3 linked regions of the Astyanax mexicanus genome follow. The protein of the gene in region 1 purifies or fractionates together with the protein of each later gene. This does not show direct contact. Links are inferred from orthologs where the notes say so. Each region holds a gene or a part of one and is shown in the gene's direction. Other genes may lie near its edges.

Region 1 (3,756 bases):
AGAAGGGCTTCAAATCTCCCTGCAGCTTTTTCCAACAGAGAATACACCAAAGTATCCTACCCAGGAAGTCTTTTAGGGATTTTAGAGTGACATCACATTGGCCACGCCCACAGAGCACACAAGCGCACATTTTTTATTAATAAATTCATTCATTTATTTTATTTTGTAATACATTCTGTAAAAATAGTACAACTCCCAAATAATACAAATCCCAAAGGTTAGTAGAACATAGATAATCACTTCTTATAAGCAAATAAAAATACATAAAATAAGTAACACACAAGGCTTTCACTTTTATCTGATTGGCATTTTGTAACATTTTAGAAATGTAGTATTTTCTCTGCAATGAGCAGGAGTTTAAACATCCACAATTAACCCTTTCACACCCTGCATCCATTACAATGGACATCATGTATTTTCTTTTTTTATAAAAAACATAACACTGTTTGAGAGTTGTTCAAAGGAAAAGACCATGCCAACCAAGGAACACGTTTATAAACCAATGAAACAGTAACTTGGCCTGCCTACTACTGGAAAACCAGTAGTACTAGAGTCATTGGGGCAAAGTAACAGCTAATTCCAATGCAATGGGAAAAAACTGCTCTTCCACTCTGATCGGGAGATCACTGGTTCGAATCCTATTCATGCAGCTTGCCATCGGCTGCAGGGGCCCTGAGAGAGCACAATTGGCCTAAATAAAAAAAAAAAAAAATAGGATACATTAACAAAAGGTCAGTGACAGCTCATTATAAATTCCTACAGTTCTTCTTACAGTTTTTACATTTCTTATTTTTCTAAATGATTTCAAAAGTGAGGTAAAGTCTAGCCCCTATATAGTTCACTATTAAACACCCGTAATCCATCACAGAGTGTAGTATCTGTCGTAGCCTCTGTCCTCGTGCGCTGTCCTGCCGGAAACAGTGCTGAGCTGTGCTCCAGGGGTTGATGGGAGATGTAGTTCACTGACATTTTACCGAGCACAGGTTTTGTGGGCGTCTGAAGGGGGTTAGTTAGCTAACACTAAACTGAGCGGTTGTGTCCGGTGTGCGGAGCTGGTGTCCGGTGTGCGGCTGGTCTGGAGATGTGTGTGTTGGTGAGGCGTTAGGAAGCTGTTGTTGTTTTCCAGCTGTAGCGGATCGGGGTTATGAGCGGACTGTAAAGAGGACAGTGCGTCACGACCAGCGACAAGATGGACACTGGAGAAGAGGGTAAGCTCCGGACCTTTAACGGGCTTTAACTGGGCTCTAAAATTAGACGGGCTCTGGGCACGGCTGTTTAATGTGAGCGGTTAGCCTGGGTTTCAATATGGATCCGAAGTACGGGGCGCAAACACCGCCGTTCAGGCCGGGCTGCTGTTAGTTAGCTGTAGCTGGGTTAGCTGGGTTGGCTAATGCTAGCTTTATAGCTTCCAAGTTAGACTGGACTATGTGGCCCTGCGCTGTGAACCGTAACGCTAGCTATTTAGCTACTTAGCTAATGCTAGCTTTGCTTTGCTAGTAAACATGTCATCGCCCTGAACTCAGTCAACAAAGACCCCCGCACTGATATTTGAGCTGTGTTTTTCTTTAAAACAGACTGGTTAGCTAACAAGGTTAGCTAAGCTAACGCAGTGAGGTATTCAATTTATAGTGTGTATTGACTGTTAGCTAGCTTTTAGCACTGTTAGAGTCAGTCGGGTGAGCTCTGTTTTCTGGAGGTTTCTCAGAAAGTGGGTTAGTTAAGCACTAAATGGTTCAGCACAGCAGTTTTATTTTACCACCACTGCTAACTTACAAGCTAGTTAGCTTAGCTAACGTATATTTCTGGTTCCTCAAAATCGCTGAAATCTGCAGCGATGACTGGAAAACGTTGAGTATATTACTCACAGTTCAGTAAGTAGTGTCAGGTGTAGCACAACAGAATTATGTGGACTAGGGTTAGCTAACTAGCATTTACTGGGGATCAAAACATTCGCTTTTAACACACACTTGCGAATCGAAACATTCCTAAAATAACAAATGTTTTTCATAAAACACACAAAAAAAAAAACATTTGGCAGTTGTTGTGGCTATTTAACCCCAAATAGCCAATGGAGACTTGTGTGTGTATGTGTATGTGTACAATTCGTACAGTAGTAATAACTCAGTCATTTTAACTCATGAATTTTCTAAGTAACACAGCTCTGGAAAAAAACAAGAGACAATTTCAGTTTCTGAATCAGTTTCTCTGTTTTTGCTATTCATAGGTTTATGTTTGAGTAAAATGAGCATGTTGTATTCTATAAACTACAGACAACATTTCTCCTAAATTCCAAATAAAATATATATTGCCATTTATTTGCAAAAAAAAGAGAAATGACAGAAATAAGAAAAAGATGTTGAAATATTTTCAGACCTTAAATAATGCAAAGAAAACAAGTTTAGTTTTAAGAGTTCAGAAATCAATATGGTGGAATAACTGGTTTATGATAACAGTTTTCATGCATCTTGGCATGTTCTCCTCCGCCAGTCTTTCACACTCCTTTTGAATAACTTTATGCCTGCACTCCTGGTGCAAATATTCCAGCAGTTCAGCTTGGTTTGATTGCTTGTTATCATCTGTCTTTCTCCTGGTTTTATTCCAGAGGTTTTCAAAATTGTGAAATAAAAAAAAAGAAACGCATATTTTTTTAAAGTGGGCTCTTATTTTTTTCAGAGCCAGAAAAAATACATCCATTAAATTATTATAACCACAATGTTGCCATGACAATCATGTCCACAATGATTAATGTTAAGATGACATTTTTTTTTAACAATAGATTGTTCTGGAAATTATTGAGGTGAATGATTTAATTGTTATTTTAAGATATTGTTATGCTACCAATTTATACAATGATATTATAGCCTAACAATGCAATTACACCCATCATTTATATCCTTGGCAACAAAAAATGGGCAATATGGAGGACAGCAGAAACGATTAACGTCATGTCCATATATTAAAGGATGAGCTGATAATGTAATTATTGTGACCTGCATAATTAATACCTTAAAAATGAACGGACATGTTCAGTATGTTTTGTTACTTTGCAGCAAAAAAGTTGTAGACCTGCTGATACTAATTATTAGTTATTATTAATTATTATTATTAATTATATTAATTATTTTTATTTTTTTATTTTTTGCAGCTGACATATGTAGAGTGTGTCGGTCTGAGGGAACTCTAGACAAACCCCTCTACCACCCCTGTGTCTGCACTGGAAGTATTAAATTCATTCATCAAGAATGGTAAGTGCCAGTTTTTCTCACATTCCACACAGAGCATCCAGTCCTATTACTGGTTTTCTGTGCCAAACTGACCTATATTTAGGCCTTTTCAGGACACAGACACATTATAGTCAGGTGCCGAACTTTAAAAGCTTGTCTTAAGTGTAAAGTTTCAGAAGAAAATCTTCCTAATTTAATATTCCGTCATAATAAATATAACATTAAGCTGAACAACCAGATCGGGCTTTAAATGTGTTCTCAAGCAGTAATGCTTGCTTTAATGATGTAGCAAGAGCATATTTTTTTTATCAACAATTTAGAATAAAAAAACAAACAAAAAAAAAAGGTCAGTTTAACATTGGTTGCTTACGACCCTTTCACACAATGCCTCTGATTTGTGTCTGTTTTGAGACATAACAACGAAAGGCCTCTATAAACTTCTCTAGAGCGCTAGAGATTTTGACAAAATCTTTGTGTTATAATTAAAAAAATATTATAAAGCAATGTAAAAAGAAAAAAAAGAAAACTGACG
Region 2 (3,756 bases), about 12 Mb from region 1:
AACTGAGTTCAACTGACTTTCATTCTGGAGAACTGTACCACTATATAGGCATGTGAATGCAGTATTACTATATTGTTGCTAGCGAGGAAATTAGCGGGGCACAGCAGCGATTCTAAAGGTGCCATAGCAATGCTTGACAAGGCTAGTGCTGCACTAGTGATGCTAATACAATGCTAAATGAGGCCGGTGGTGGGCATGGTAGCAATGCCACGGGAATAATGCTAAATAAGGCTGTTCAGTCAGTGTGCTGCAAATGTTGCAGCTGTTAACGGTTCACATATACAGCTGGACATAGTGTGCCATAACTGCAAGGCTAATTAAGGTGGAACAGCTTAATTCCGTTAGCAAGAGGTTCTTTTTTGAACCAAGACTCCTACATTATACCAGTTATGCCTTTACACTGTTTCTACTTACAATAATATTTAAAACAAAGACACAAGCATTCATAAACTTTACAACATTAGCCAAACTAATGGTATTGTTAACTCGTGTAACCAATGCTTGGTGGGAAAATAAGCCACACCAGATTTCAACTAAATCAATAAACAAATATTTTCAAATAAAATTAGTGCTTATAATATGGCAGACAGACCTCACGTCCTTATTCTCACCACTGTTTTCAAGTGTCACTATCCTGTCTGAACTTTTACCTACATGTTATTGTGGGTCATCCATAAAGGAAATTGCTCAATAGTGAGTCAGACGGGTTACAGAAACGTTACACATCACATACAGGCAGCACACTTAAACTTCAACTCAAATTCAGTTTTCAAGATAGAACATTACTTATTCATTTTACTATACATTCTGGCAAATATCCGATATGTATTGTGTAAAATGTCTTTCTTTAATCATTTGTACACTTAGGCTACTACTTGACCATTTTGTGGGCTTTATTTCTCTACTAGATCAAATTTTTCTGTCAGAACTGGTTTCTGTTTCTCTTACTTTTGCTTGCTTATTAACCCTAAGCACATTTTTGGTTATTACACCATACCATACCTTATTTATTTATTTGTAATCTTTATATAATGTTACAAGGGTATATCTATGTCCAATAGAATGATATGTACACTCTTTTCGTCTTAAAAAAATTATATTTAATGCCATAGAGGGATAAGAGTACTGACTGGTTGGAGGTGTGTGTGAATGAATGTGAACAGTGAGTCTGTAAGAGTTTAAATCAGGTGTAAATCAGCTCCCTCAGATTAAACTTTTGAACTAAACAAAAAAAAGCCCAGCTTCGGTTCTGAGCTTGACGTCACACCATCGCAGCGGCCGCGCGCGCCGGTTCGTTGTGCTGAGAGAAAGACCCGCTGACGTGCTCGCGACCTTTGTACTACTTTTTCTGTTTTTTTTAATGGTCAGGTGCCACAACATGTAGTGGGAGGATATAAAGGCGAGAGAACTCCCTCATTCTGAAAGAGTGCGAGTTACCACTCCTCAGAGGACTCCTGAAGACTGCCTTTGGCCAGTAGACTAAACCCACAGATTTACAGGTGAGATTAAGCTTGTTTTTTTTAGTTCTTTCCTTTTCTCCTATTTGTTTTTTCATTAATACTGCTGTAAGATTCTTCATGTCCCTTTATGACTTTAAATGGATGAAGAACTGAACTGAAGAGCATGTAGACGTGACATTTTGCCCATTTCTTTTTCTTCTTCAGTGAGAAGACATGGCTCCAATGGAAATAACAAACCAGGTGTGTAGAAATGCCTTCTAAAAATCGTTCTTGTCCCACAAAATACAAAAACAAGACTTTTAATGACTAAAACTAGTTTATTAAAGTTAGTAACTATATAACCTTCAGAATAGTCTGTTCTTCTCCCATATGATCTTATTTGATTAGCGTAAAACGCCCCTGTGTTAATGTTTACTACTATATTAATTTAGGCTAGACAAAATATTGAAAATATTGATATATATCAAACTGTTTTAGAACAAAAAAGGCCATTCTGTAATATAATTTAGCTTTTACAATTACCTCAGTAGAAAGACCTTTGCATCCCTGAAACCTGTAAAGAACTATTTTATTAAGCAAGAGTTTTCATATTTTACATATTTCCCAAACTGTGTTTAATATAAAAACTGCTGTAGGGTTGAAATGGTATGCTTACTATTCGTACAAAAAAAAGAAAATTAAATAAAAAAAATTAAGTTGTTTTGTAACAACTAAAGATCTAAATCTTAATCGAGAATCACTCATATAATTAAATAATATTGAGACAAATATTTTTTACAATTACATGTTACTCTCTAAGTGTGATTTAAAGGTTTACCTGTATGGCAATAGGTTAGTTTTTGGATTGATGACACTTAACAGAGTACAGCAGAGTACAGTCTTGTGCAAAATATGCAGTTGAAACATTGTAATTAAATGTAGCAGCAAAGTAACTTTATTTCACTATTTCAGACAACACAGGCAATCCAGTGCATATTAAAAATCATCCATATTAAATCTACAGTTAGATATTTACTATTTAAATATACAACAGTCTGTTCTTTCGGTGTTACAAATAAATAATTTTACTTTGGCATTGTATTTTTTTGTAGTGTTTTAGTATTATATCTCAGCCCTACTAGTATATTCAGGTATACGGATACTTTGAATTTTGGAAAATTGATCAAAACATTTTTAGTTTTTGTTTAAAAATATATTATCCTTTGGTTCTGAAACATTGATGAATGTTTAGCTGTTTTTGATCCTCTTGGTGTGGATTTTCTCTTGTGTATAGTTTCTGTTCTTTAAATATAACAGATATAAATCAATCTAATGCCAGATGCCCTGGATTGTGTTCTGGAACAAGACAGAATTTGCACAGCCGTACCATTGCATATGACATGACGTAGACCTCTATGATGCAAATGGTAATGATTAACCTTTCACAATTTTCAGAATGTGGTCATTCGAGTGGCCAAGCTGCCCCTGGTGAGCTCCACCTACGGCATGGTCTCAAGCATGTACTGCAACACCAAAGACAACCATCCATACATCAAGTCTGTGTGCGAGGCTGCAGAGATGAGTGTGAAAACTCTCACTTCAGCTGCCCTGACCAGTGCCTTACCAATTATTGGCAAGCTGGAACCTCACAGTAAGTAGTGTGACTGGACTGATTCATAGTAATTCAAAATAACAAATAATAATAGTTTATTATATTCATTTAGTGTAACAAAAACACTGTAATTTAACTAGAATTTTTTGTATTTATCTTCTTTAGTCTCCCTGGCTAATGACCTGGCCTGTAAGGGTCTTGACAAGATAGAGAAGACGCTTCCAATTCTTCACCAACCTTCTGAGCAGGTGAGCTAGGGTTCATCACCCAGTAATGACTCAGACTGAAACAACAAATGATTTGCCCTTTAACAGTTCTCAGAGATCTGTTCTATGCCCTCCTCTTTTTCATTACCAGTTCATCCTTTTACTCCCTAACAGCTCTAGAATAATTTGTAGATTGATAGGAATGCAGGTGTTGTAGGTGATGTCCTTACATTCCTACCTAATTCCTGCCTAATGGCCACTTTTCAGTTTTTCGGTTTTACATAACACAAAATAATTTATAGTAGTTACAGAATAGTAGAATAGTAGTTTGAAGTAAAAGTATAAAAAATTAGTCATACTAGTCATATATGAAAAGCATGCCTAGTTGCCATGTTCTTTACAATGTTGCAGAGATTTTCTTCATGTCCATGAACCTTCATAAACCTTTTCTTTACTTCTGTAGCTCGTCGCTAATGCTAAAGAAGTAGTGACTGGTGCC
Region 3 (3,756 bases), on another chromosome or scaffold:
ATATAGCAAATAACAAGTCTACAATATATACCTGTTAATGTAGATATTGAAGTTTGTCTTTCTTTTTCTTTGGCGGACAAACACATTTTTTTTTTTACTGTTTATTATATAATTTCATATGTGTCCCTTTAATTGTTTTGATATCTTCAATATTAACCTACAATGTAGAAAATAAATAAATGATCTGGAACTGTGTATTGTTTTTCTCTATTTTAAGTCTTTATTTAAAAAAAAAAGTTGACAGCATGTTCAAATAATTTATATTTATGACAAAAAAATCACTCCCTTTAATGCCACTTATTCCTGTTACTGGAACTCACTCCTGTTACTGACACTCATTCCTGTTTTTTTATGCTTTTGAGTAACAGGAATTAAAGTAACAGGATTGAGTTATTAGCATAGAATTTGCATGAAAAACATGAAAAATAGCTAAATGGCGGCTATGCTAACAGCATGAGGACACTGAGCACATTCTAGTGATTTTCCCAAAATTTGTATTTTAAAAATAAACAAATAAGATCTAATAATTAATTTAGGTAACAGGTAACAGTGTTGAGATTGACATCCTCTGTCATAACTACAATAAAATCAAATATACAGAAAAATTAATGAGGGAACTTTATTTTGGTCTTAAGACGAACCAGCTGATGTCACTTCCTGTTGTAGATGTGACTTGTAGAATGTTCCAGATGTTTCAGAAGGAGTTATGGTAAGAGGACTGAGTGAAACCCAGTGACACAACTAAAAAAATTTATTATGTATTTATTATGAAAAAAATATATATTTTTAAAGCAAAGATAGGATTTGGACTCTCTCTGAAGAATTTTTAATAATTATATTTCATGGTAAAGTTTATGATTTTTTTAGTGTCCTAAATTGTTTTTATTAATGTTTTTAATTCCGTATTTTACTTTTGCAATAAGGTCAGTGCACAAGACTTAATAATGCCTAATAATAAAAGTATTTTAAAGTTATTTTGTGTGCACATTTATACATGTAATTTCCTGGGGACAGAAATGGAACTTATTCAGTGGAACAGCTCTTATATATATATATATATATATATATATATATATATATATATATATATATATATATATATATATATATATATATATATATATATATATATTTCTGTATATACTTCTGAGAGTATAAAGTGTAATAAAGGTGTGAGTTTGTGGAGCTGTGAGGAAAATCGTCCTCTTTCAGTGACATCACATCATACTACTGCTGCTGCTGTCTGTCCCCCAACCAGGTGCCGGCGATTGGCCAATGGCCAGATAGCGTGAGCTCTGCTCACCGCGTCCTCGCCGCTGATTGGTGGAATTCGAGCCGAGGAGGCGGAACTGCAGCGCATACAAACGGCCAATGGAGGCGTTCGATATTAGCATAAATTATTCAGCATCCTCGGCGGCTCGGATGAGCTTCTGCTCCTGCTGAACACCGCGGACCTGTTTATGCTTTTTTTTTTTAAATACTATTTTTTTAATGAAAAAGTTTAAAAAAGTAGCTTAAAAACTTTTTTAAAAACTTTATTTTTAGTTTAAGGCTTTTTTTTTACTGGTGAAACTTTATTTGAAGCTGTATTATTTTGTATTTTGTAGTTGGAAACTCTTTTATATATATAATATTTTGTATTTTATTAGGATTATCCTCTTATTAGTATTATTTCAGAGCTTATTATTATTTTTAAATCATAGTCAGGATCATGTGGACGTTTCTGGGTGTAGCGAGTTTCACCTACGTGTATAAGAAGTGTGATTTTATTGTGAATAATGGGCTGCTGGTGCTGCTTCTGCTGGGTCTGCTCGCTGTCAGCACTGTGCTGACCCTCAGGAAAGCCCCCCAGATCTCCCAGCTCGCCCTGGAGCTTCTCTCAGCCTTACCTGTGACCAGCAAGATCTTCAGCAGATCAGACACCTGCAGCCGGAAACACACACCTGACAACAGCAAACAGGTAAATAATAATAATTATTATAATAACTTACTGTTCATCTTCATACTGATCCTTATTATTATATTTATATTACTATTGTACTATTATTACATCACTATTGTATTATTTTACCATCTTTATGTAATACAGTGTAATACAGTGAGGTGTACAGGTGATCAGTGTGTGAATATGATGATATAATACAGATGATTAATAATTAATTACTTTAATCTGCTGAAGTTATTTCACACTGACTGTATTACTTCTGTTAACGTTCAGGGAATAAAAGTTGATGTACAAAATAAAAGTCTCTTTCACTCACTTTTCTTTTTTTACTCCATGCTTTCTTTCTTGTTCTCTCTCTCTCTTTCTCTCTCATACTCGGTTTACTTTCTCTCGTTATGTTTTCTTTTCTTTCATTCCCTTATTTCATTCTCTTATATTTCCTCTCTGTTTTCTTTCTTTCTCTTTTTTTACTTTCTTTTCTTTCTCACTTGTTCACTCTCTCGCTGTTTCACTTGCTCCTGCGCTCACTTTCTTTTTGTTTTTATTCCTCCCTCTTTATCTCTTTCATATATTCACCCCTTTTCCTTCATTTTCCCTCTTCCTCTGCTTTTCCTTTTTTTCATCCTGTCTTTTCTTTACTTTCTTTCATTTACTTCTCATGTTTTGTCTTCTCATGCTTGCTTTTCTCCTTCCTCCCTTTTGTCCATCACTTCCTTCCTTTCTTTGATTCCTCTTTTCCTTCCTTCCTTTCTTCCTTGTTTTGTTTCTTTCTTCTTTCCTTTCCTCTGTTTTCTTTAATGTATTTGATTGAATTGAATTGAATTTGATTACTCTGTTATTACATCCTTCTTTTCTTACTGCCTTTTTTAAACCTCATTACTTCCTTCTTATTTTCCTTCTTTTTCTTCCTCTATTACTTCCTTTCTTCTTTTCTTTCTTTCTTACTTCCTTTCTTTCTCCCCTTTTATCTTCCTTCTTTTTTCCTTCATTACTTCCTTTTTATTTTACTTCCTTCCTTTCTTCTATCTTATCTTACTTCTTTTTTCCTTCATTACTTCCTTCTTATCTTCCTTTTTCTCTTCATTATATTAATCATTCCTTCCTTCCTTTCTTCCTTCCTTCCTTCCTTCCTTCCTTCCTTCCTTCCTTCCTGCCTTCCTTCCTTTATTTTCACTGCTCCTCCTTTCTTTTTCTATCACTGATTAGAAAGGAGTGAGGAGGAGGAGGAGAGCAGAAGTGAAGAGCTGTCTGAACTCGGACCCTGGCTCCTCAGTGGACCCCTGCAGTGAGGGGCCGGAGGTGATCATAGTGGGTGCAGGTGTTCTGGGGGCAGCGATGGGGGCGGTGTTGGCGCGGGACGGGCGGAGGGTCACTGTGGTGGAGAGGGACCTGCGGGAGCCGGACAGGATCGTGGGGGAACTGCTACAGCCCGGCGGCTTCCGGACCCTCAGAGAGCTGGGGCTGGAGGGTGAGGGGCTCAGTTTACACTTACAGAACAAAGTTCACGCTGTTACTCTCAATCCTTATATATAAAATATGGACAAAAGTCTTGGGACACCTACTCAGTAATTTGTTTGGGGTCAGGATGTTGAATATTTACCACCCCCCCTCACCTCCAACTCCCTCAACTCATCCCATTCAAAAGTATTGAATGAAGCACCATAATTCCAGAGAACATAGTTCCACTGCCTCATAGCTCAATTAGGGGGCTTTATACCCCTCTAGCCCACACCTGGCATTAGGCATGGTGCCAACAGGTGCATTTGCACATTTATCAGCAATAGGTACAATATAAAGTTGCTGAATACATT

The links.
Region 2: the proteins of marchf6 (region 1) and plin2 purify together in Homo sapiens (affinity purification with western blotting; 3 studies listed by BioGRID). This does not show direct contact. The link is inferred for Astyanax mexicanus from reciprocal best matches to the Homo sapiens genes MARCHF6 and PLIN2.
Region 3: the proteins of marchf6 (region 1) and sqlea purify together in Homo sapiens (affinity purification with western blotting; 4 studies listed by BioGRID and IntAct, with this or other methods). This does not show direct contact. The link is inferred for Astyanax mexicanus from reciprocal best matches to the Homo sapiens genes MARCHF6 and SQLE.

Annotation. Positions count from the first base shown.
Region 1 is NC_064415.1:39,741,857-39,745,612, forward strand, and holds the start of marchf6 (E3 ubiquitin-protein ligase MARCH6), read left to right. Parts: upstream 1-932; 5' UTR 933-1,189; coding exon 1,190-1,208; intron 1,209-3,145; coding exon 3,146-3,245; intron 3,246-3,756. UniProt on the Homo sapiens protein: Endoplasmic reticulum membrane-associated E3 ubiquitin ligase that plays a critical role in mitigating endoplasmic reticulum stress, the regulation of cholesterol and lipid homeostasis, and ferroptosis.
Region 2 is NC_064415.1:28,201,701-28,205,456, reverse strand, and holds the start of plin2 (perilipin-2), read left to right. Parts: upstream 1-1,390; 5' UTR 1,391-1,499; intron 1,500-1,664; 5' UTR 1,665-1,673; coding exon 1,674-1,700; intron 1,701-2,894; coding exon 2,895-3,090; intron 3,091-3,216; coding exon 3,217-3,299; intron 3,300-3,720; coding exon 3,721-3,756. UniProt on the Homo sapiens protein: Structural component of lipid droplets, which is required for the formation and maintenance of lipid storage droplets.
Region 3 is NC_064408.1:112,537,745-112,541,500, forward strand, and holds the start of sqlea (squalene monooxygenase), read left to right. Parts: upstream 1-1,420; 5' UTR 1,421-1,711; coding exon 1,712-1,960; intron 1,961-3,151; coding exon 3,152-3,413; intron 3,414-3,756. UniProt on the Homo sapiens protein: Catalyzes the stereospecific oxidation of squalene to (S)-2,3-epoxysqualene, and is considered to be a rate-limiting enzyme in steroid biosynthesis.